2 linked regions of the Caenorhabditis elegans genome follow. The protein of the gene in region 1 binds, or shares a complex with, the protein of each later gene. Each region holds a gene or a part of one and is shown in the gene's direction. Other genes may lie near its edges. The genes, in order: unc-112 and pat-4.

Evidence for each region.
Region 2: unc-112 (region 1) and pat-4 share a complex: the UniProt entries of both Caenorhabditis elegans proteins name them as parts of the integrin containing attachment complex.

The regions. Positions count from the first base shown.
Region 1 is NC_003283.11:14,689,629-14,701,348, reverse strand, and holds unc-112 (Protein unc-112), read left to right. Parts: upstream 1-4,694; 5' UTR 4,695-4,719; coding exon 4,720-4,802; intron 4,803-5,220; coding exon 5,221-5,285; intron 5,286-6,279; coding exon 6,280-6,547; intron 6,548-6,786; coding exon 6,787-7,964; intron 7,965-8,034; coding exon 8,035-8,438; intron 8,439-9,032; coding exon 9,033-9,197; 3' UTR 9,198-9,487; downstream 9,488-11,720. Other genes in the region: set-5 (SET domain-containing protein), read right to left, coding at 1-34, 339-443, 489-653, 894-1,240, 1,813-2,379; gasr-8 (uncharacterized protein), read right to left, coding at 9,488-9,688, 10,167-10,334, 10,805-11,587. UniProt on the Caenorhabditis elegans protein: Component of an integrin containing attachment complex, which is required for muscle development and maintenance. Probable regulator of cell-extracellular matrix adhesion. Required during initial muscle assembly to form dense bodies and M-lines.
Region 2 is NC_003281.10:85,813-98,380, reverse strand, and holds pat-4 (Integrin-linked protein kinase homolog pat-4), read left to right. Parts: upstream 1-3,571; 5' UTR 3,572-3,577; coding exon 3,578-3,673; intron 3,674-4,235; coding exon 4,236-4,541; intron 4,542-5,150; coding exon 5,151-5,247; intron 5,248-5,743; coding exon 5,744-5,889; intron 5,890-6,518; coding exon 6,519-6,774; intron 6,775-7,188; coding exon 7,189-7,282; intron 7,283-7,698; coding exon 7,699-7,957; intron 7,958-8,591; coding exon 8,592-8,738; 3' UTR 8,739-8,928; downstream 8,929-12,568. Other genes in the region: C29F9.8 (G_PROTEIN_RECEP_F1_2 domain-containing protein), read left to right, coding at 1,263-1,267, 1,318-1,462, 1,512-1,598; mrpl-40 (Large ribosomal subunit protein mL40), read right to left, coding at 9,229-9,312, 10,169-10,333, 10,376-10,442, 10,486-10,616, 10,695-10,817; F54C4.4 (NAM-associated domain-containing protein), read left to right, coding at 11,122-11,194, 11,263-11,432, 11,485-11,601; attf-3 (C2H2-type domain-containing protein), read left to right, coding at 12,004-12,174, 12,234-12,354, 12,404-12,568. UniProt on the Caenorhabditis elegans protein: Probable pseudokinase that acts as an adapter protein. Component of an integrin containing attachment complex, which is required for muscle development and maintenance.

The DNA.
Region 1 (11,720 bases):
TGGCGGTGGTGGCAATGGTGAGAACACGCGATTTCTGGAATGAATATTTGCTTGAATAGTTTTCTTCATTTTTCGCTTTTAGAGGTCTCGAAACGACCAATTCTATAATGTGTGCGTCTTTAGGAATCTACAGTAATCCTTAAAGGCGCACACACTTTTGCATTAAAAGGGGAGTATCGGCTCTGATTTGGTTATTTATACGGTAATATAGGCACATTTAGATGCTGTAATGCAAAAAAAAAAACACAGAATCGATACTCCTCCGTTGAAAAATCTGTTGTTTCGAGACCCGGATCCGTGTTTTTACGGCAAAAATCGCTCTGAACAACAATACAAACCCGCTCTCTGGGACAATTTCTCCTTCTTCCACGTTCTCCATCGCTGCCTGAACTTCTACTTCATTTGCTGCTTGGCTGGTTTCTCTTCCAGATTCATCAGGCATCCTGAATTTTAGTATTTAAAATTTTCGAAAAAAAAAAATTAAAAACCCTGCAAGAAGTTTCGTCATCTGTTCCTTCAAATACAGCTCATAGTCTTTGGTTTTTCGATCCAAACTGTGTACATTCAACGGACTCTTGTCTGTCTTCGAATATTTCATCAAAAATAACTGTCGATTCTTGTTCAGAAACACATTGACACCAGCGTCGTGGAGCCTGAATTTAAAAAAATTAAAATATTCTTAAGTTTCGAAAGTTGTTAAAGGTGGAGAAAATCGGAGAAGTTTTTTTAAACTTTGATACTAATTTCAGTTTTTTAACAAGACGATTTCAAGCTGGAATTTGAAATCAGGGAAAATATTCAGCATTTTTTCACATGGATATTCGTAATAAGGAGCCAATTTTTTTCCAGTTTTCGATCCTTCACACCGTCAAATAATTATAATTAAAACAAACCATTCTAGTACATTCTCTTCAACTGATACACTTGTCACATACAAAACATTGCGTAATGTTATTGCATTCATCAGACGATCATCATTCAATACAATATTCGATTTCATCACTCGACTAGTGAAATCCGAAATTAATTTTCCTAGATCATCGTCAATCTCCTCGACAGTCTTCTCTGATCCAAACTCCTGCTTGAACACGTGGCACAGATGTTTCGTGTGTCGTGGCATCATCGGAATGATTTTTGATTGATTGATAATCGATTTAAGTAGTTTCTCTTGTTCTTCGTTAAATGGTGTTTTTGATGGTTCAGGATCGATTTGTGAAGTGCTGCTTGAAGATGCGGAAATCTGAAAATAACTTTTGTTTGATTCAAACTTTCAAATCTCGACTTTGACAATCTCATTTATTTATAAAGCTTGTACTGTCAGAAACGAAAAGTTTTGCCAGACGGTGAGAAAAAAAACCGACAATGTTCGATAAAAAAATGTCTGAAAGCACGGGGAGTCAGAATGTCTTATTTTGATTTGATCTTCATAAAATGCGGGAGAAGAGACGCAGACTTCTCATCTTATTTCGCCTGGTTAAGAGCGTGCTGACGTCACAATTTTTTTGGAAAACTATTCCCGCACTTTTTGTAGATCAGAATTAAATAAGACAGCCTAACACCACGTGTGAAAGCTGTTACAAATGCAAAGTGTTGTGAAAATTTCGCCGCAAAAGCGGCTTATGCATGCAACAAGGTACCATATTCAAAATGTCTAGAAGACCGTTCTGCTTTTCCAATTGAGCTTTTCAGACATTTTTAATCGAAAATTTTCGTTTTTCTGTGAAATACCAACACTTGGCGTTTTTCGTGGGGATTTCGGAGTAAAACCCAATTGTTCTGCAATTTTCTTAAATTCGGCACATTTCAACATACAGAGAGTTCCGGCGGTTTCCAATAACCATCATTCTGAATATACTTTCTCTTCCATTCCCGTCGACAATTCTCAGAATCCTCCAAGTGCACAGTACATTTTAATGAACAATTCAAAGGAAAGAAATCGTCATTAAAATCGATAGTAATCTCATGTCCATATGGAATGAAGTCTCTTGCTTTGATAATTATATGGAATTCTGTATTGTTTCTTTCATAACTAAGATAACTATTCGGAAAGCAGCTTCTTCGGACAAATCTTCCAGGATTATTTCCAGTCCCTCGAGCATCCAAACAGACACATCCGTATGTGAATAGAAAGTTCACATTTCGAGAATCTTCTTGAAGTTCATGATGAAATGCCAATAATCCTCGAATCCTCACAATTGGCTCGTCCGGCTCGATGTCTAGATTTGAGACGAGAGCTCTGTTGATTAAATAGGATTTCGAAATTTCGATACTGCGACACTTTTTTCCGAAACTTCGAACTTCTGTGATGGGGAATAGTGTCGGAAGCAGCTCCTCGACGTTTTTCGAAATGATTGTTGATGATTTGTTTTTCGGGTTCATTATAATGCGATCTGAATAAATTTCAAATTAATTTTGGCAATGAAAATATGGATTAAAATAGAAATAAGCCTGCAAGCATAGAGGAAACCAGATTTTCGGTTTTTTTTTTCAGAAAAATGACAAAAATTAAGCGCAGGAATGAAAATAGATGAAAAAAAACCGTTTCTTCGAACATTTGTAGAATTTGTGTTGGTTTTTTTTAAAAGGATAATGCGAAATTTTGGAGTTATATGCACTTCACTGAAAAACGGATAGTTCTAATGGGAAGGAAAATTCTTATTCGTGAAGTTATTGGGCCCATTTTCTTCAATTTGCTCGATGATTTAAGAGGCACTGAAGAAAATGCGAGGAAATTATTTTTTTTAATTGTCTGACTCTACGGATTTTTTTTTAATATCCACTATTTTTTCGGGATTTTTTTTTTGATAATTCTCTGTTTTGAACAAGATTTTATAACACAGAAACATAGGAAAATGCCGAACTTTAGCTCTGAAAACTATTAAAAGTTATTTTTATCATGAAGTACAATTTTTCACGGAGAAACCCGACACAAATAAAAGTTTTACGTGATGTTCAACGTTTAATATAAATTTTCAAACAAATAAATCGAATATTGGCCAAAAAAACTAAAGAAAACAGAGTAAAAAGTTCAAAAATAAGATTGCAATTGTTGAAAAACAATGAAAACAATTGCTCGTAAAGTTATGGCGAAGTACGCAAAAGCCTCTGCGTACTTCGCAATCTACCGTAGTCATCAATTAATTTTTTTGTCAGTCGCGCGCGACAACATGTCGTGCCGTGCCGAGAAATACTGCATAGGATATAAAAACAAAGAAACGTTAAGTGATAGCTGAAAATATCAGTTTGATTTAAATGGCTACAAGGTTATTCCTTGACACAAAAAATATCCCGTAGGGAAAACTACAGTAATTCTTTAACATCTTTAAATTTCGATTTAAATTTCGGAAACATTGATTTATCGATTGAATATTGAAATTAAGCCGAAAATTAAAAACTAATACGAGGAAACGAAGAAAAATGAATATCGATGTCACTATTCGAAAAGAAAATCATTTCAAAAATCCGTAAATCGACTAAAGCGCTACAGTAGTCATTTTAAGTATTAATATAGTTCTCGCTACGAGATATTTTGCGCACTATGCATTCTCAGAGTTTTGTGTTCCCGTATACACAGTGCTCAAATTCTTCGTCCAAAAAATTTCTGAGCTTATTTCAAGTTTGATCCAACTCTTGTTAATGTCTTATATAACTTTAAAACGATTCAAAAAACGATTAGGTCAAAAAGTTTGATTTTTAACGCCGCCAAAAAAATTTGCATACGCTTTATAAGCAACTTTTGTACCAAGTTTATATTTCTTTTGAGCCAGACTTGGACAAGAAGTTAGCATTTTGTGTCAGCGCATATTGAAATTTCACTACCATTTCTAATATACTGTAAAGGATAGTTACTTTTGTGGAAAATCTGAACTTTTATCAATTGCACCATAAAAGACGAGGTTACCAAGTGTTCACAGTATGAACTTCACACGTGGTGTTAGAGTGTCCCATTGATCTACGTAGTTCACATTGTTCACAAATGTTCACATTATCCAGATATTCTAATTCAGAAACTAGTATACACCTTTCTCCATTTCATTGCACTTCTCCATTCATACCCAACTACCCGTGATATCCTATACTTTTACTCTCTCTCTCTCATGTCCAATGTCCCTTCAGAAGCTGCTTCCTGGCATCTTCCTCCTCCTTCTTCTGCCAAATCTTTCTGCCAGCCGGGGGACGGGACTCTTTGTGTAATGTTGTCTTCTTCTTTTCCTTCATCTACAGCAGCATCGCCTACTGTCATTCCTTCCCATTCCCGCGTAGCCGCCTGCCGAGTGTCCTTCAACTCTCCGTCTCTTCTACAACTGTTCACTCTCTCTCGCTCTCTCATTGCATTTTGGAACATACAGATAGGGAGTCAGAGAGATAGAGAGTGAGAAAAGAAGCGGAGAGACGGTGTTGCTGTGAGTCAGAGACGAAGAGTGTGTACTGCTCCGGCCGTCCGTTTGTTCGTCCGCATCGGCAGTCTTTTCTCTCATTCTCTCATTCTTCAATGTTCTCTAGCCTCTTTTTTCGTTTATTTTATTCTGTATACACGTTCCTCTCTACCTGATATTCTCCCACACATAGCTTTTTTATTGATTTGTTGATTGTTGTTAAGCGGTTTTTTTTGTTTTCTATTCTATCTACCGTGGACGGAGAAAATACACTGTTTCTATAATTTGCTAATCTTTCCAACAACTAAAATATCTCAGTGGTTCTACCTAAATCACTTCAAACATGGCACATCTTGTTGAAGGAACCTCGATTATTGATGGAAAATGGCAATTGCCAATTTTGGTCACCGATTTGAATATTCAAAGGTGAGGATTTAAAATTATATATTTAGAAAATATTAACTTTCAATAGTACTGCATGTTTAGCAGTTGTTCTTAAATAACTGCAATTGCAGGAAGTTATAGAAAAAGATTCAATGCACATTTTCTGAATTCAAGTCATTTTGTCAGAATAAGTGATAATTGAGTTATTCTCGGATTGAGGTTAAGCCTAAACCAATCCTAGGCCCAAGCCTAAGTCTAAGTCTACGACTAACTATAAGAATAAGCCTAAGTCTACGCCGAAGCCTAGCCTAAGTTTAAGCTTAAGCTTAAGTTTAAGCCTTACCCTAAACCCTAGCCTAAATTTTCAGAAGATTCCGGTTAAATTTTTTTCCAAACATGAATGAGACATTTTCAAACTCAGAGTCTTCCAATTTCCAATAAATGTATTTATTTCTTCCAGAAGCATCTCTGTCCTTGGAAATCTTAATGTGGGAGGACTCATGCTCGAACTTGTTAGCGAATGCGGTGAGTTTTTTTTTCGAATCTTATCACCTCGGTCAAGATCTCAAAGATCTCAATAGACCATGATTTCTCTCTTTTCTACTCAATATAATCTGTTAGATATATCTGCCACTGTGTGCGCCTACGCGTTTGTTACAACGAAAAGATACGTGGTGTGTGCACCATTACGAAATGATGTTCAATATCAGTAAAAATTGAAGGCATGGGAAAATGTTGAAATCTGCTGGAAAAAAATGTTCTGGAAAGATAGGGAACACTTTTGGAAACACATCGTAACGGAGCCCTTGAAGAGTGCGCCAAGTGAAAAATTTCTCGTACAATTCTTTCAAGTTTGCTGAAAATTCGTATTTTGAATAAAACAGTTTAATTAAAAAGTTAATTTTTGAGAGATCTTCACGAAATTTTTTAGGGACTGTGAGCTCCGAAATAGTTGACAAGAAGTCCTCTATACATTTTGAAACATCATAGAAACTATGCGGAACCTATCAAATATTTATGGGCTCTTCTCATCTCCTACCAGTTGCTCTTCTCTTTCTTCTTTTTCTTTTCATCCTAACCCCTGTTAATGTTGACTATTCGAGTGCACGCGTGCGCATCTACATAAGCTGATTGTTTCGGATGGGACATTCGCTGTTGGGTACATAAAGTTTAGAGGCTTTCCTTGCAGAGATATAAGAGCACACAATGATAGGGGGTCCCAGGAGAGAGTATCAAAACTTGAGAAGCAACTGGCATTCATCATGACCAAGAGCAGAAAGGGCGCATAGGAGAGGCGCATAAAAACGTTTTGGAATTAAGTTTTCGCGCGATTTTTAGAACTTGCAGAAGCTGAAGGGATGAAGATTTTCTGCATTAGGGTATAACAATTTGTGTGCTCAATGTGTTTAATTTCCAAGTTCAAAATGTAATCATTTGGGCTTCAGCTGAACAAACAATTTACAAAACAGCTGTATTGAAACAAGAATCTAAAAAACTCCAAATATTTCTATTTTTCCAGATGTTGAACGAGATTGGTCTGATCATGCTCTGTGGTGGCCGGAGAAGCGGCGATGGCTTCAACATACTCGATCGACTCTTGACCAGAATGGAATTACAGCTGAAACACAATTGGAGTTCACACCAATGCATAAAGAAGCAAGAATTCAGTTACCAGATATGCAAATGATTGATGCGAGAGTTGATTTCTCGGTAAATTCATTCAAAGCAACAAAGAAATTGTGCCGTGATTTGGGTATTCGATATTCAGAGGAATTGTCTTTGAAGAGGTAAGTAGGAATTGGGAAGTTTTTGATGTTTTATTTTTAATTTAAATAAGAATGGAGTTGTGAAATTCCTTAGTTGGTTGAACGAGGATTGAAGATCCTTGGGAATCTTAAGCAACTAGGGAAAATCTATGCCTGATCGAAATCCTGCCCCAAAAGTTTGAGCAAGGTCAAAAGTTAACTACTACCGAGCATGTGAAATAACCCAATAATTCAAAATCATATAATTTAAAATATTACAGATATATTCCACCAGAGGATCTTCGACGTGGAACATCTGACGCCGACAACATGAACGGTCCACTCTCAATGCGTCCAGGAGAAGAATCAGTTGGACCAATGACTCTCCGTAAAGCTGCTCCAATCTTTGCTTCTCAATCGAATCTTGATATGCGCCGTCGTGGTCAATCACCCGCGCTCTCCCAATCTGGACACATTTTCAATGCTCACGAAATGGGAACTCTTCCTCGCCACGGAACATTGCCACGTGGTGTCAGTCCATCGCCAGGAGCATATAACGATACGATGAGAAGAACACCAATTATGCCAAGCATCAGTTTTAGTGAAGGACTTGAAAATGAGCAATTTGATGATGCTCTTATTCATTCACCAAGACTTGCTCCAAGCCGTGATACTCCAGTATTTAGACCTCAGAACTATGTGGAAAAAGCTGCGATTAATAGAGGATGGCTTGATTCTAGCAGATCACTTATGGAACAAGGAATTTTTGAAGGAGATATTATTTTACTACGATTCAAATTTATGAATTTCTTTGATTTGAATCCAAAATATGATCCAGTGAGAATTAATCAACTTTACGAGCAAGCAAAATGGAGCATTTTACTTGATGAATTCGATCACACAGAGGAAGAAGCCACACTATTTGCTGCTCTTCAACTTCAAGCAACCCTGCAAAGAGATTCTCCTGAACCTGAAGAAAATAATAAAGATGATGTGGATATTCTTTTGGACGAGCTTGAGCAAAACCTTGACGCAGCTGCTCTTAACAGACGATCAGATCTTACACAAGTTCCCGAGTTAGCAGATTATTTGAAATATATGAAACCAAAGAAATTGGCAGCATTCAAAGGATTTAAACGGGCATTCTTCTCGTTCCGTGACTTATATTTATCATATCATCAAAGCTCCTCAGATGTCAACTCAGCTCCACTTGGACACTTCTCATTGAAGGGATGTGAAGTTAGTCAGGATGTTTCAGTTGGACAGCAGAAGTATCATATCAAATTGTTACTTCCAACTGCTGAAGGAATGATTGACTTCATTTTGAAATGCGATTCCGAGCATCAATATGCCAGGTGGATGGCTGCGTGTCGGTTAGCATCCAGAGGGAAGTCAATGGCTGATTCGTCATATCAACAGGAGGTGGAGAGCATCAAAAACTTGCTCAAGATGCAAAGTGGTAAGTTGTTGATTTTACAATTTAATAAGTGATAATGAAATTATTTTCTTCGAATGAAACAATTTTTCAGGTAATGGAAACGAAAACGGAAACAGCAACACAGCTTCGCGAAAAGCCGCCGCTGTAAAACTACCAAATGATTTCAATGTTGATGAGTACATATCGTCGAAATACGTACGACGAGCACGCAGCAAGCAACAAATTCAACAGCGAGTATCAGATGCTCATGGAAATGTTCGACAACTCACGGCAACCGAAGCGAAACTTCAATATATCCGAGCATGGCAAGCACTTCCCGAACACGGAATTCATTATTTCATTGTAAGATTCCGAAATGCTAGAAAGGCGGAATTGGTGGCTGTTGCTGTGAATAGACTTGCAAAATTGAATATGGATAATGGAGAAAGTCTGAAGACATGGAGGTTTGCAAATATGAAGAAGTGGCATGTCAACTGGGAAATTCGACATCTCAAGGTTAGTTTTTGATGAATAAAATATTTAAGATCTGGACATGATCGGAAATCGAAAAATTGCAAAATGTTGAGAACGTTTTCGAGACCTATTCATCTAAGTTTCTTGTAACAACTTTCTGATTGTTAATCTATTTTGTGATGTCTTGAAATTACGTTTTCATCTCAAAATCTTTCCTAATATGTATATCTAAACACAAAGAACAATTGGCTTTCAAAAAATCTTTGTATTGTTTCAAAAATTATAATATTGCGTTTTTGATTCAATTGTTGTTTTCTATCCATAAGTCTATTCGCCGTAACTTACTAAAAAATTCAGGTCTTTGGTAATTTAAAATCTAAATCAGATAATGTTCTCAAAGACCGAAACTTTTTCGGTAAACTTGGTGCTGACAGGAAGGTAGGCAGACTTCATGCCTATTTGCCTACATGCCAGCGTTGCACCTTGAGCGTTTTAGAAATAAATTTTTAAAATCTGTTTTGTGCCTACATAAAAGGCTTAGATAAACCCGAAAATAACCGAGAACAAACTTTTTGAAATTAATTACTTTTTTTCTTTGAGTATACTATTTTATCATCCTATCTCCCCAATTTCCAGATTCAATTCGAAGATGAGGATATCGAATTCAAGCCACTTTCCGCTGATTGCAAAGTCGTTCACGAGTTCATCGGTGGATACATTTTCCTGTCAATGCGAAGCAAAGAACATTCTCAAAATCTTGATGAAGAACTTTTCCACAAACTTACAGGAGGATGGGCTTAGATATTTAAATTTCTATAATCTTTTGCAAACCAAAGAATTTTAATTTTAGGCTCCAATTCCATCTTTTTCGTTTCAAAATTTCAATATATATATTTGTTTTCTTTCATTTTTCTTGTTTCTCATTTCCCCCCTTCCCCTCTTCCAAATAATTTTTCGTTTTAATAAGACAAGTATACCGGATCGAAAAAAAGTTTTATGTGCCTTTTCATATCTATGGATTAATAATAATTGTATGAGAAAAATTGAAAAATATTATAAAAATTGAATAATAAAAACTGATGAATAAACATTTAAAATCTTCTTCCGCGTTCCTCGAGCTTTTCGAATTTTTGTTGATTGCTGATTTCTAGTCTTCCAACGTTTCGTTCAACTTCAATCAGCAACTGATCTCGCTCTTTTTCCAGTTTTTCAAATTCTCCCATCACAATATCATTGAGTTCCTTGTATTTTTCAACTTCTTTCCTCATATTCTCAACGTTTCGCATATCTCGCTGGAATAATAATCAGGAAATTATAGTCATTTTCCATCTTTTCTGGTAGTAGGCAAACGTAGGTACAAGGCAGGCAGGCACTGTTCTGCTATCTAGCTACCTACCTAACTACCTAGGAATCCTTAATCTGTTCTATTCAACCATATAAAATCAATAGTACAAAACATATCGGCAATATAAATTTGATAGAAAAAAAGCAAATAAGTTTGTATCCCGTTATTTAAAAATTTGTTTTCAAACGGATTGAAATCATGTGAAAACATGTTCAAGAAGTATCAAGAAATTTGAAACAAAATTTTCAAGCAACAGCAAAAAATATCTGAATGTAGTCTTCGCCCATAAATTTGTTTTTTCACGATTTAGAATCGAATTGTTTCTTATTTTTCAAACTAGTTTTGTACGTTTTTTTTAAAGTTAAACAATTTGTCAGAGCAAATCAAGCAACTTTCACGAATGATACGTACATCCCTTTTCTTACCTGAAAATTCCTCTTGTAATCCTGAAGCCTCGCGATTTCTTTGCTCATCTCATCAATGTTTGCTTGATTTTGGCCGAGTAGGACGGCTTGATCCTTGAGTTTCTCGCGACTATCAATGAGATCCGCTGATATTGAATCACGTAGATCACGGAGATTTGAAACTTCGCTCTGGAATGGTGAAGATGGTTTTTATGAAGAATTAATACTTTAATAAAAATTAGTTGAAAAAATTGATCTTATGATTCAAATATCGTTATAAACAGGGGGTTTTTATTTTGCTTTAAAAATATCCAAAATAGACTCAAATTCAGAAATACGACAGAATAAATACGATGAAAATAGAGGAAAATTTCAAATATTAATTTTTAGTGTGATTTGACAATTTTGGTTTTTAATTCCCTCCAAAACGAGAAGCCACGCCCGCTTTCGAACCAACCAGAATCTTCGAACGTTACAAACTTTATCTGATTAGTTCAAACGTGGGCGGAGCGAGTCGTTGATTGGTCGCAGTTCTCGCTGTGGAGGAAATTCAAATCATATATTTTAACTATTTTGAGATTTTTTTTCTGTTGTGGTATTTCAGAATGTTAGATTTTTTAAATGCAAAATCTAAAATATCGAATATTCAGAGTTCCTACCTGCAAGAAATCAATTTTTCCTTGCATCATGGCAGTTTGCTCACTATTTCCAGATTCAATTGTCCTTATCTGTTCCATATGTTTCAATCCAATTTCCTCAATTTCAATTTCTCTTTCTTCTTTCATCGCTTGCATTTGTGTCTCCTGTTCCTCTTTCATTCGTTGCTCCAAATGCACAATTGCATATTTCAAATCACTTTGAGCTTCTAACTTCTCTTTTTCAAGCTCCGCAATGAATGTTACTAGAAGATCATCAGATTGTCTTAAGATATTCGCTGCTTTCTCTTTTGTCAATTCTTCCATTGTCTGACATTCAACACTTTCTAGACCACCACTTGGAGCAATTGCTTCTGACTGTGTTCCAGCATTTCTATGCATTTTTGCATGAAATACCAAACTTCGAATTCTTTGTTGTAATTTCTGGATATGAGTTGCTTGATGTGTCTTCATATCAAACATACTTTTCTCTACGTCTCTTGTTCTCTCTCTTTCTTCTCCTAATCCATTTTCAGCTATTCTCCAGAATTGTTGAATTCTTCCTCTTTCCTGTTGAGCTGCATTCAGTTCCACTCTAGTTTTTGTCAATTCTCCACTCAACTTATCAGCTCGATCTTTCAGGCGGTCTTTTGTAATTTGAATTGCGTTTAATTTTTTCTCAACTTCAGCTATCTTTCGGGAATCTGCATTCTGATTCTGGATTGGCTCAACAACTTGGACTTTCTTTTTGGCAGCAGATCCTATTGCAGGTTTTCGACGGGAAGCTGCATTGGTCGATAATGTAGACTAAAATTGTTACAAATTTTTTGATAATATAGTAATTTTAATAGATTTTTGCTTTTGCTTTAACAGCTAAAATTACAAGAAACACAATCCGTAGAAAACTGTTGGTCGACCAAAAAAATTACGATGAAAACTG
Region 2 (12,568 bases), on another chromosome or scaffold:
ATTTGTGGCACTAGAAAGACCCGTTGGTATCCTGTACAGCTGCGGGGTTTTGCAGGGCAAGCTGGAATGGTGTAAGTTTTTTGTCTGTAGCAGTGCACACCTTTATAAGCTGAGCTTTCAGAAATATAGTCTACAATTTCCTGGACATTTTCACGATTTTCGTGCCAATTAACGCGATTCTCCACTGCCTTCTCTGCCTTGGAGTGAAACTAGCGGGCCCTATGGGGCCCGCTAGTCGGCAAATTGAAAAAAAATTGGAACCTTCCAACATATCGGAAAACCGGCAAATTGCCGATTTGCCAAATTTGCCGGAAAAGCGGCTAATTTTGGTTTTGCAATTTTTTTTTGGAACTTTCAGATTTTATCTATAATCTGCAAAATTGTAGGCATCCTATAAATGCTCCTACATCTTTTTTGAAAAGTAAGAAAATTCTACGAAATTATGGGAAGAAAGCAGGAAACCTCTAAACACTTCCGGCAAAATGATGTTCGACAAACCGGCAATTTGCCGAAAATAAAAATTTCCGGCAAATCGGCAAACCGGAAATTTGCCGAATTTGTCGACCAAAACATTTGCCAAACGGCAATTGCCACCCACCGCCTGGTTCAGGTCTGTGGTCCTGACTCTGACTTAAGCTTAGACTCTCTAAAGATATGAACAAATTTCAGCACTCCACCACTGACCTACCTCCAAAGCCAGCTAGACTTCTGGGCTTCCTACCTAGAAGAAAACCTCCGAAGGTTGGTAGCGCTCTTCGGAGCCGACGCTGCGCGGCACCTCGCGACACTATAGCTGTGTGCGGGGCGTGGCGAGAGTAAGGCCTACGTCATTTAACCACCTAAAATTTTTTTTCAGGTGCTTTGGCTTCCCTGCAAACTACAGCCAACCCCAGTTCTACTCAACTATTGAAGAATACTCTAATCACACTTCTGTCGTGTATGTTCTTTATAACACATGTGATGGAGTTGTTAAGGTTTGGAGTTTTTCAGCTACCTAATTTTTTTTTTTGCAGTCAGAAATTTCAGGTTTTCCTTACAATAGCCTTTCCAGCACTTACCTTTTTTGCTACAGCAGCAGCTGAAATACGTCAGAGAAGTCCGTCGGAAGAGCTCGGCGAGCATGGGAAAAAACGCGGAAAAGTAGGTAAATTTTGTATTATTTCTGACTCACAAAACTAAATCCCAATGGCAATTACATTTGTGGCACTAGAAAGACCCGTTGGTATCCTGTACAGCTGCGGGGTTTTGCAGGGCAAGCTGGAATGGTGTAAGTTTTTTGTCTGTAGCAGTGCACACCTTTATAAGCTGAGCTTTCAGAAATATAGTCTACAATTTCCTGGACATTTTCACGATTTTCGTGCCAATTAACGCGATTCTCCACTGCCTTCTCTGCCTTGGAGTGAACACTTTGTACCGGAAAACTGTGGGGAGGATGTTTTGTGGTGAAGAGGTGGCCAGGAAGGTTAGATTTTTAGATTTGCTGAATTTTCCAAGTAAGTTTAATATTTCAGACCTCGAAGTCAGTGTCCCCCCATTCATCAACTTTGGTAGCTTTGGAGCTCGTATTTCTGGATATTTTTGAATATAACACATTGTAACTGTTATGCTATAGAGTAAAAGATAATAAACATATCGTCAGCTGGCAACTTATTTACACGAGGTGCCAGGCTGTCCCATTACGGTTTGATCTACAAAAAATGCGGGAATTTTTAGCTCGAAAAAATGTGACGTCAGCACGTTGCTAAATCAGTTGAGAACACTCTGCGGCTCTTCTCTCGCATTTTTTGTAGAAGATCTACGTAGATCAAACCGAAATGGGACACTCCGACTCCCCCCGCTGGAATTGTCAGAAAATCAATAATTTTCTACGCAACCCTCCCGGTCCCCAAAATCCTTGGCATCATCATCATCAATGCTCAGTTTCCATCCGAGAATCGTGTTACAACATCCGTCCCTGCTTCTCTGCGTCTCCTATCTCTCTCCATATCTCTTTATCTCTAACTCACACGACTCCCACGGGAACCAAATCTCTGCGTCTCTCACTGCATTTCACACTCTCTCTCCCCCGTCTCTTCTCTTTCTCTCAAATGTTCTTGAATACCTTCTTCCGATGAGCTTCTCGCCCCCTCAAAACCAACTCAATTTTATGATATACTTTCTAGTGATATGATATTCCGTTATTTTTCTGCCACGTGGCAAAATTTTGGGATGTTAGGCCACGTTAGGCCCTTTCTTGGCTGTTTTGGGAAAAGCGTCTGAAAATGGTTTTTTGTCTGAAAAACGTCATTGAATTTTAGTGCTGCAATTGTGAAGTGGTAACTTTGTTAAGCTTCACAATTTTTCGTTATGCTCCGGGTTCAGGTATTTTGTAAACCCAGTCTTTGAGAAGAAAATTGCTAAAAAAACTTGGGTCCCGCCACGAAAACGCTAGGAATTTCAAGAGTTTTTACAGGAATTGATACATAACTTTTCAGTGCTGTAGAGGAAAAATTTACAGATCTTTTGGGCACAAAAATGTGCGATGGGGGCTTTGAAATAACGTGAAAATTTTTTTTGAATTACTTTTTTAATCAAAAAAGTCCTTTGGAATATTGGGGTTTTTTAAAGCTTTTTTAGCAAATTTATACTATTCTGAAAACCCTTAAACTGCTTAATTTAATGAAACTAGGTATAACTTTGTCGAACTATTTTCAGCCAAGTTACAGTAATTCTTCTGAAACTCGCTGCGGAGCTTCAGAGCAAAAATTACGATTTCCTCAAAATTTTTAAGAGAAAGTTACCATAAATTAATATTTTTCTGATGGCTCGGAAATTTTCCTATTCAAATTTTGAATTTTCAAGACCAGAAGCTCGTTTTCAGCCAAATTTTAGAGCTTTTTCAGGAGTTAGCTGTGAAAGGTAAAATTGGAAAATGTCCTAGAAGCGAATTTGCCGGTTTTTTGATAAAAATTTTCAGGCAAAATCCAGGCAAATTTGTACTTTTCTGAAAGCCCGAATTCTCATCTTTTCAAATTCTTAGCATTCAAGACCAGAAGCTCATTTCAAGCGAAGTTTCAGAGCTTTTTCTGAGCCAACCTCTAGACGACGGAATGGTCAACGAAAAGATATCCCACAATCGCTTGCCGTTTGTTCTCTGCGCGGGATACTACTCCCTCTCCACAATACATACATTTACAACAAATTTCGTCTTGTTCTCTGCGTCTCCTACATAGTCCTCTACTATCTCGCCTGGCCAGCGGGGGAACAATGTTGACCCCCCCCCCCCCATGCCGTCGCCTCAGCAAAATTCTACTGCTTTCTGTTGTACTTATTGCATTGTTTATTTGTCTATGTCTCTTATATCTAACTTTTTTGGCTTGAAATTATAGATTCCGGGCTTCATGGGGCCCGGGAAAAAGTTGGAAAAATTGAGAAAATTTGGAAATTTTTGGAGATTTTTATTGATTTTTTAATAGTTTTTTTCTTCAATTTTCACCGATTTTTTTTGTTGTAATTTTACATGTTCCTGCTCAATTTTTCTTGATTTTTTCAAATTTTACACTATTTCACACGTAAAACCTTATATTTCCAGTCAACAATGTCTTTGTCGACTCATTACCATGCGCACAAGCCAAATGTGCCCATTATAATGGAGGATGTGTTTGGATGGGTCCGCGAGGGTAACGCTTTTCAGGTGAGTTTTGTAAATATTTTTATGGGGTTAGGCTCGATGAGAGCTTTTGAAAAAGTATAATTTTGTATAGGTTTTTGAAAAAAAAAATTTGGAAAAAAATTGAAAATGTTTGGAAATTATTTTTTTTAATTCTAGAAAAATTCAAATTTTTTCGCTGAAAAGTGGGCGGAGCGTATATGAATTTATACTTTTTTGAAAGTTAATGTTTTTCCTCAATTAAAAAAATTTAAATTTAAATCCGAAATTCTGAGATTTTCTAAAAAAAAAATTCATTAAAAATTTTTTTTTTTTAAATTTAAATTCCTATTTAAAATGGCGGAGCTTATACAAATTTATACTTTTCTAAAAGTTAAAATTAAGCTGAATTTGAAAAAAATTGTTGCCAATTTGAAAAATCAAGTTTAAAGCTAGATTTTAAGCTTAAATCTGGAATTTCCGGTAATTTTTGTCCGATTTTTCTTTTCATGCTAACTTGATCAACTTTCACCGAAATTGTCCAATTTTTTTGCAGAGGATTTATCACAATCCTTACTATAGACTAAGACTACTATCAAAATTTCAGGTCCGCGTCTGGTTGGACGATCACGAGCACGATCTCAACGTCGGAGACGATCACGCCTTCTCACTGCTCCACTGGGCCGCGAAGGGCGGCCACGTGGCGATTGCAGAGATGCTCCTGTCACGTGGAGCACGTGTAAACTCTACGAATATGGGAGATGACACGTCATTGCATTTGGCGGCCGCCCATGGACACCGACAAATTGTGGTGAAGCTTTTGTCGAGAAAAGCCGATGTTAACGCTACCAACGAGCACGGAATGACTCCACTGCATTATGCTTGCTTTTGGGGATATGAACAAATTGCTGAGGTGATTTTATTGATAAATTCGAATAGAGCTTGTTTAGAGCTTCAAAATAAGTATAAACTCGATTGGGAAAATTTTTTGGGAAAATTGGAAAAAAATGATTTTTCAAAAAATTCAGAAAATTTTTTTTCCAAATTTTCGAATAAGTTCTTCTCGGAAAGTTTTAATTTCGCAATGAAAATGTATAGTTTAGGTGAAATTATTTTTATAATCAAATATAACTAGATTTGAGCTTTAATAAATGTATAAATTCATAAAGGATGCGCCCACTTTTGACCAAAAATTTTGAGCTTTTTTTTGCCGGAAAAAATTTCTGAAAAAAAAATCATTTTTTCAACACTTTATAACTTTGGAAGTTTTTTGGCTATTTTTTTTTATGTTTTCATACTTGCGTCCTAAATATTTTAAAATTTCAATTTATTATACCAAAAACACAAAAAGTCCCTATTTACAGTAGCCCCTGGGAGTTTTCGTGGCGGGACCCAAAAATTTATCGAAAATTTGTAGAATTTTCAAAACCCGGGCATGATTATACTTTTTTGAAAGCTCTTAACAAGCTGAATTTGAATTTGTTAATAATTACCTTGATTTCTTGCAAAATAACAACTTCAGGACCTAATCTCCTGCGGCGCCGCTGTCAACGTGTGCAACAAGAAGGGAATGACCCCACTGGACGTTTGCCAGCCAATGTGCAAAAACACTATTTTGGGTAAGTTTTTTGTGCATTTTAATCTGAAAATTGAATTTTTTTAGTCGGAAAACATATAGATAAGATTTTTAGAAGAAAAAATGCATTTTTTGAAAAAAAAAACATTTTTCAACATTTTTACAACTTTTCAAAAACTCATAACTTTTTAGTTTTCAAGCGATTCGATTTAATTTAACGTTAAAATAAGTCTAAAAGATCAAGCTTTTTGGTAAATTAACTTAAAAAATTGAAAAACATAAACTACAGTAACCCTATAAGTTTTCGTGGTGAGACCCAAAAATTCTGAAGTCTTCTGGGCAATGCTCATTTTGTGTGGAGCCTGGGCATGATTATACTTTTCAGAAAGCTCTTGGTGAGCAAAATTTAATTTTGATACTTAAAAATAATGTGTACAAAAATTTAATGTTTTTTTCAGCAAAGACTTTTGACTCGCAAAAAGTTTTTTTTTTGGGATGACTTTTTTCTAATAAATTTTTAAATTATCGATTTTTTCTAGAAATTGCTCAAGAACATGGACAATCTCCAAATGACCGTGTACCATTCAAGGATACCACATGGAAGGGTACAAAGTCCCGTACTCGGGACGCCACACTGTCCCGCTACACCGGAGTCGACGTCTCCTCGCTGAATTTGATCACTAAAGTGGGTTATAGATTTTTTCAGTGGAAAATAACTTAAAAATTCAAATTCAGCGTAAAAAATTAGTTTCAATCGTTGAAGGATGGGAATTTTCCGCGAATTTCGAAGTTTCTGAAAAAATTCGAAAAAAAAAATTTTTTAAGGAAAATTTTCAAACATTGAAAAAATCATAACTTTGACTGTTTTTGAGATTTTCAGCCGGTTTTAACCTCAAAATATGCACAAAAACTTGTTCTACGTCAATAAAATATTAAAATACTGTATTGACACAAAACAGCTTAACACTATGGATTTTCGCGGTGGGACTCAAAAACTCGTCGAAAATTGGAACCCGCTACGTAAACTTCCAGAATTCACTTACCGTAGTGTATATTATTATTTAATATAAATAATACTGTTTTTCAATATTTTATACGTGTTTTATGTCAAAAATCTGCAAAAAATCTTAAAAATTGGCAAAGTTATTAAGATTTGAAATGTTTGAAAAAAAAACTTCATTTTCGAAATAAAAATTTTTTTTGACCTGAGTAAATGTATACTTTTCTGAAAGTCTAGATCAAGATGAACTTGATAAGCTACCTCAAACTTTAAAAATCCCAAAAATTTCCAGCTTAACCCCCACTCTGTTACAGATCGCTGAATCACACTCCGGAGAACTGTGGCGTGGAAAATGGCAGGGCAACGATATTGTGGCGCGAATTTTGAATGTTCAAGAAGTGACCGCCCGTATCTCACGTGACTTCCAGACCGAGTTTCCGGCTCTTCGTATTTTTGCTCATCCGAATATTTGTGCGGTGCTCGCCGCGGCTAACCAGCCACCGAACTTGGTGATCATCTCGCAGTACATGCCATTTGGAAGCCTGTATAACGTGCTCCACGAGCAAAGTTGTGAGTTTTGAAGGTTTTCATTGAAAAGGGCGCAAAAATTAGTCCTAGAAAATGTTTTGAAAATTTTTTTTTTTGATTTCGAAAAAGTAGAAAAAAATTTTTTTTTGATAAATTTTTTTTTTTCAAAATTTGTACTTTTCCCAATTTTTGAGATTTTTTGTTAAAATACTGCGCACAGATAACTCAAAAAATTGTCTTTTTAGTAAAATTATCAATATCATATTAGATAACTTATCTACAGTAACCCAACAGTTTTCGTGGCGAGACCCAAAAATTCTCGAATTCATGCTAAAATGGCCGGAGCCTAGGCATGATTATACTTTTCTGAAAGCTCTTAACGAGATCTATTAGATTTTGACATTAATTTGTGAAAAATCGCTGAAATAATTTAATAAAATCAATAAAATATTGCAGCTGTCGTCATTGATCACGGGCAAGCCGTCAGATTCGCGTTGGACATTGCTAGAGGAATGAGCTACTTGCACAGTTTGGACCCTATGCTTTTGAGGTTAGTGTGGTTGAATGGAGCTTAAAAAGAGCTCCCAGAAAAGTATAAATTTTTATAGGCTCCGCCCATTTTTCTGGCGGGAAAATTTGAATTTTATGTTTTTAAAAAAATTTGGATTTTTTTTTCCAAATTTCAAAAGTTCATAACTTTTTTAGTTTTTGATACTTTCAAACGGTTTTTGGCTTAAAATGTGCCTGAAATAATGTTCTTCGAAAAGTAGCTACAACAAAAATTTTCAAAAATTGTTTTCAGGAATCCAAGAGTTTTTGGGGCACTACTCGAAAAAAAACTTAAAAAAAATTTTTTTTTTTTTTTTTTTTAATTTTTTAATTTTCCCCCCATTTTTTTACGTTTCTTAACTAATTTTAGAGTTTCAGATAATTTAAGCTATCATAAGCCTAAAGCCCAGTTTCCAGGTTCTACCTCTCCTCCAAACACGTTGTAGTCGACGAGGAGCTCACCGCCAAACTCTCAATGGCAGATACGAAATTCTCGTTCCAAGAGGTCGGAAAAGCCTATTCGCCTGCCTGGATGAGCCCAGAAGCCTTGTCACGGGCTCCAGAAGACTTGAATATTAGAGCTGCCGATATGTGGTCATTTGCTATATTGTTGTGGGAGCTGAACACTCGTGAGGTCCCATTCTCTGATCTACCGCCAATGGAATGCGGAATGAAGGTAAGGGAGGGTTTTTGGAGGGCTGAAAGTGTGAAAAATGATGTTAAAATCCTAAAATTAATCTATCAGTTAATTTCGGATGAAATTTTGGAAAAAAATTTTTTTTTGGCCCAAAAAAAATTGTTTTTCTATTATTTTTTTCAAAAGTGTTCATTCTTAAATTCAAACTCAGAAGCTCAAAACAGGCCGTGACAACATTTTTTAGCTCGTTTGGGCTCAATGTCGTAAGATTCGGTGTTTGCGTACTTCCGAGACTACAGTACCCCGAAAGCCCTGAAAATGGAATAGAAACGTCTAGTAACGACTGACCACGCTCAAAATTTTGCGAGAAATTCGAATTGAACCACAGTTTGTTGACATTTTGAGATAAAATCAAAATTTTTTTCTGAAATTTTGTCAAAAAATTCGAATTTCTTCGTATAATTTTGATCAAATATAATTTTTATCAAAAAATTTGAATTTCCCGTCACTTTCTACCTCAATAAACTCAAAAAACTCATTTTCCACCGCTTTTCTGCAAGTCGTCGTCAGATTCAGTGTTTGCGTACTTTTAGGGTTACAGTACCCCTTACACCTCCAAAATCAGCGTTTCCAGACCCAAATTTCACGCTGAATCCAAATTTATTAATTTCAGATCGCTCTGGAAGGTCTCCGAGTGCACATTCCCCCTGGAATCGCCCGTAATATGAACCGTTTGATGAACATTTGCATGAACGAGGACCCGGGACGTCGGCCAAACTTTGATCAAATCATTCCGATTTTAGAGAGAATGATATTATGATTTATCGATTTTGCTTTTCTAATGTTTTCAACAATTTTTTTAAAATTCAATTTATCAAAGCTTTACATCAAAAGTGCCTGCTCCTTGTCCAGCCCCATCGCATTTTCCGTCTATATATTAATTTTAAATGTTAAACTGTCAAAAAAAATTGCTCAATTTATGAAAAAATCAATAAAATCTTATGAAATGTAAGGATTACTGTACGCAAACACTCTTCGACAAAAAAGTTCGCTGCAGTAAGTTTCATGTATCCAAATAATCAGTTGCCAAAAATTTGCACGTGTAGCCTAGTGGCTAGTGACCTCGCCCGCCAATCACAGGGCCTGGGTTCGATCCCCGCAGTGGCAAATTTATTTTTTCCAGCTCGGTTTCACTGAAATTTTTAGTTTTTTCCATAAAAATCGATAATTCCTTTATTAATGCGTCATCCTATGTCACTGTCTACAACAAAAATACCCATAAAACACATAAAAATCAACAATTTTCGGCTCTAAGATGCCCAATTTCTCGTAGTATCAATGTAGTCGCCGTCCGGAGCCTCGTAGTTTCGAATGGGCGGAGTCAGTGAGGGTCCCTGTAAGAAATTTTAAAGGATTTTTCGGAATTTTTTAATTTTTAGAAAAAAAAATTTGGAAAATTCCAGGTTTTTTAAAAAAATTTTTTAACCAATTTTCGGAATTTTTCGCAAAATGTCAGTGAGTTTTCAGATTTTTCTAATAAATTTCGGTATTTTTGACATTTTCTCAAGATTTTACATGTTTTTTGGGAATTTTTAACATTTTCTGAAATTTTAAGCATTTTTTTTCGAATTTCTAGCAATTTTTCAGATTTTTAGCGAAATTTTTGGTATTTTTACGACAATTTTCAGGGATTTTTCAAAATTTTCCCGATTTTTAGGTAATTTTTTTGGATTTTCGGATTATTTGGGGGAATTTTTACATTTTTTGCAATTTTTCGAGAAAAAATTTGAAAATTTTTGGGGGATTTTACAGATTTTTAAAGGTTTTGTCGCAAAACTTCTGTGCTTTTTCAGCAAAAACCGGTATTTTTGTGTATTTTCCGAAATTTTTGGATTTTCTCGAAATTTCCGGGGATATTTCAATTTTTTAGTGAATTTTTTCAAAATTTCCGCAAAAATTTTAGAGATTTTTTAGAAAGTTTTTTTTTTTGAATGATTATTTGGGAATTTTGAAACTTTTAGAAAAAAAAAGTCGAAAATTCCAGGTTTTTCCAGATTTTTGGCAAAATTTTCAAGATTTTACTAATAAATTTCGGTATTTTTGACATTTTCTCAGGAATATTTAAACATTTTCTAAAATTTTGGGCATTTTTCCGAATTTCTAGCAATTTTTAAGATTTTAATGAATTTTCGTGAGTTTTTCGGGTTTTTCATCAATTTTTTGACCATTTTTCTTCAATTTCTCCGCTACCTGAACAATAAGCGGTAAATCCTTGGCTGCTGGCTGTACAGCCGCCTCGTAGAGCTCCAATTTGAGCATTTTCAGCTCATTTAGAGCTTTTCTCTGCGATTCGATGGCTCCACGAATCCACGCGTCATCCTCCTGCTGCAAAGCCAACCGGGAGCGTGTATAATCCTGAAAATCCACGGATTTGAAGCGAAATTCTCAGATTTTTACCTTCAGAGCGATGGCTCGTTCGTCAATTTGCTCCAAGGTGAGCTCGGTGCGTGGGCGGCGGCGTTCTCTGTAAGAATTCCGAGTTTTTAGGCAGAAAATCGCTGAAAAACCCGATATTTTTCGCGGATTTCACGTCCAAAGTGAGCTCATCCACTGGTTTCGGCTTTTTCGAGTGCTTTTGCATCTGACGAATATCCTTTTCCAGCCGTTTTCTGCGTCGGGTCTCTCGCTGCTTTGCTACCTGGAAAATTTTTGAATTTTTTCTCAATTTTTATTAAATTTCCCGTTTTATTCAATGAGTAACTGTAATTTTCTCTACCTCCGGATCAATTTTCTTCTGTCTTTTCATAAAAACCGAGGAGCCGGCGGGAATTGTTTGATGAATTTGGCGGGTTTGAAGTAGGGAGAGCCGGGAGAGGCTCGCAAGCAGGCTGGAGCTCATTTTACCTGGAAAAATTGGAATTTGAAGTGATTTTACATCAAAATCATCAAAATTCTGAAGAAAATAGTCGAAAAAACCAAGGAAACCTCCTAAAAATCAACAAAAACAATAAAAATTTAATAAAATAAATTCCCAAACGACACTCCGCTATCCCACCCCCACGCGTTGTTCACCGTAAATCTACACAAGCTCCGTCTCTCACTTCCCCACACTCTCTCGTCGTCCCTAATCGATTTTCGGACAATTTTCCGCGTTTTTATTGACAATTTTTGAGTTTTAATAAGGATTTGGCAGCTAAAACACTATGGAAACCATTTTCGAAGACGAGGAGACCATGATGGCTGCTGAGCAGAGTTCTTCAGGGATTTCTGCCAATTGTGAGTTTTTTATCAAATTTTTATTAAAATTCAGGTTTTTTTTCAAATAAAATCGAATTTTTTTTCAGCAAATAGCAACTGTAGTGCATCGAAAACCGAAAAAGCGTCGAAAAAACCGAAAAACGCCATTCCAAAAGTCAAAAACTCTGGAATTCACAAGAAACCCGCCAAATCGGACTTTGACGAGTTTCTGAGCAGCATGAAGAGCCGATTATCTCAAGCTACCAGTATGAAAAGCGTACGTTTTTTAGAAAAATAAAATTTCCAACCTAAAAGCCGATTTTTTACAGAATAAAGAGCAACTCAAGATGTTAGAGGAGACGCAGAAGCTTATTTTCGATAGAATCACAAAGTCAGCCGATGCGCGGGATATGGAACATTTGGAGAAGCAAATGAATAAACTTTAAATGTGCTTTCTTTATTTTATTTTTTTTTTAATTTTGTGGCAAAAATCCATGTAAATTTGTGAAATTATGTATCAATCGCTGTCGAAATAAATTATGTATTTTTTTTTTATCATGTATTATTCAAATTTTAGAAGAAAATTGAGCGAAAAACTGCAAAAAAACCGCAATAAATAGCCGAAATAAATTGTAAAATCAAAGGCGCATGACATTTCCCGTCTGTTGGGTCTCGCAGCGCGCGTCTGACGACGCTCCGAATGCCGCCGAAAACATTGTTTATCCTTTTCTTTTTCTCTCCCGCTCTCTCGTTTTTGCATGCTCTCTCGTCTTCGCTTTCGAATTTAAATGGAAAAATGCAAAGAAATTAACGAAATAAATTGAAAAATGTTATTTTTCAGCTAAAAAATGATGAAAAACGATGAGCAGGACGATGTGGACGTGGTGAATGTGCCGACAAATATCGATTTTCAGTGCAATTTATGCGAATACGTCGGGAAATCCGATCGAAGTCTCAGTGCACACAAAAGACACAGACATCCACGGCCAGAAGGTCAGGAAGATGATAAAAAACCAAGGGTAAGGCGGATATTTCAAGATTCTGATTGAAAAACGAAAAAAAATTTAATTTTTTCCAGGGCCGACCGAAAAAATACGAAGATTCTCCGGTTCCACTGCAACGAGTCACCACAAAACAGCTTCTCGGCGGTCGAAAACGTCCGAAAACGATAGTGGAATGTGTGGATGATTCGGCAATAAGTAATAAATCTTTTAAAAAATCTGTGAAAAAACGATTTTTTGCTTCCAGGAACCGATAAAGAAGCTTCTCGCCTTCACGGACTCGGAATTATTGACGAAGAGACTTCCCTTGGGGATTATGTTCGCCGTGGAGCCAATTATCAGCTGATGGGCGGCTCGGACATGAATTTAGACGGAAATTCCATGATTGTCGGCCAAGAAGTGGTTATTGATC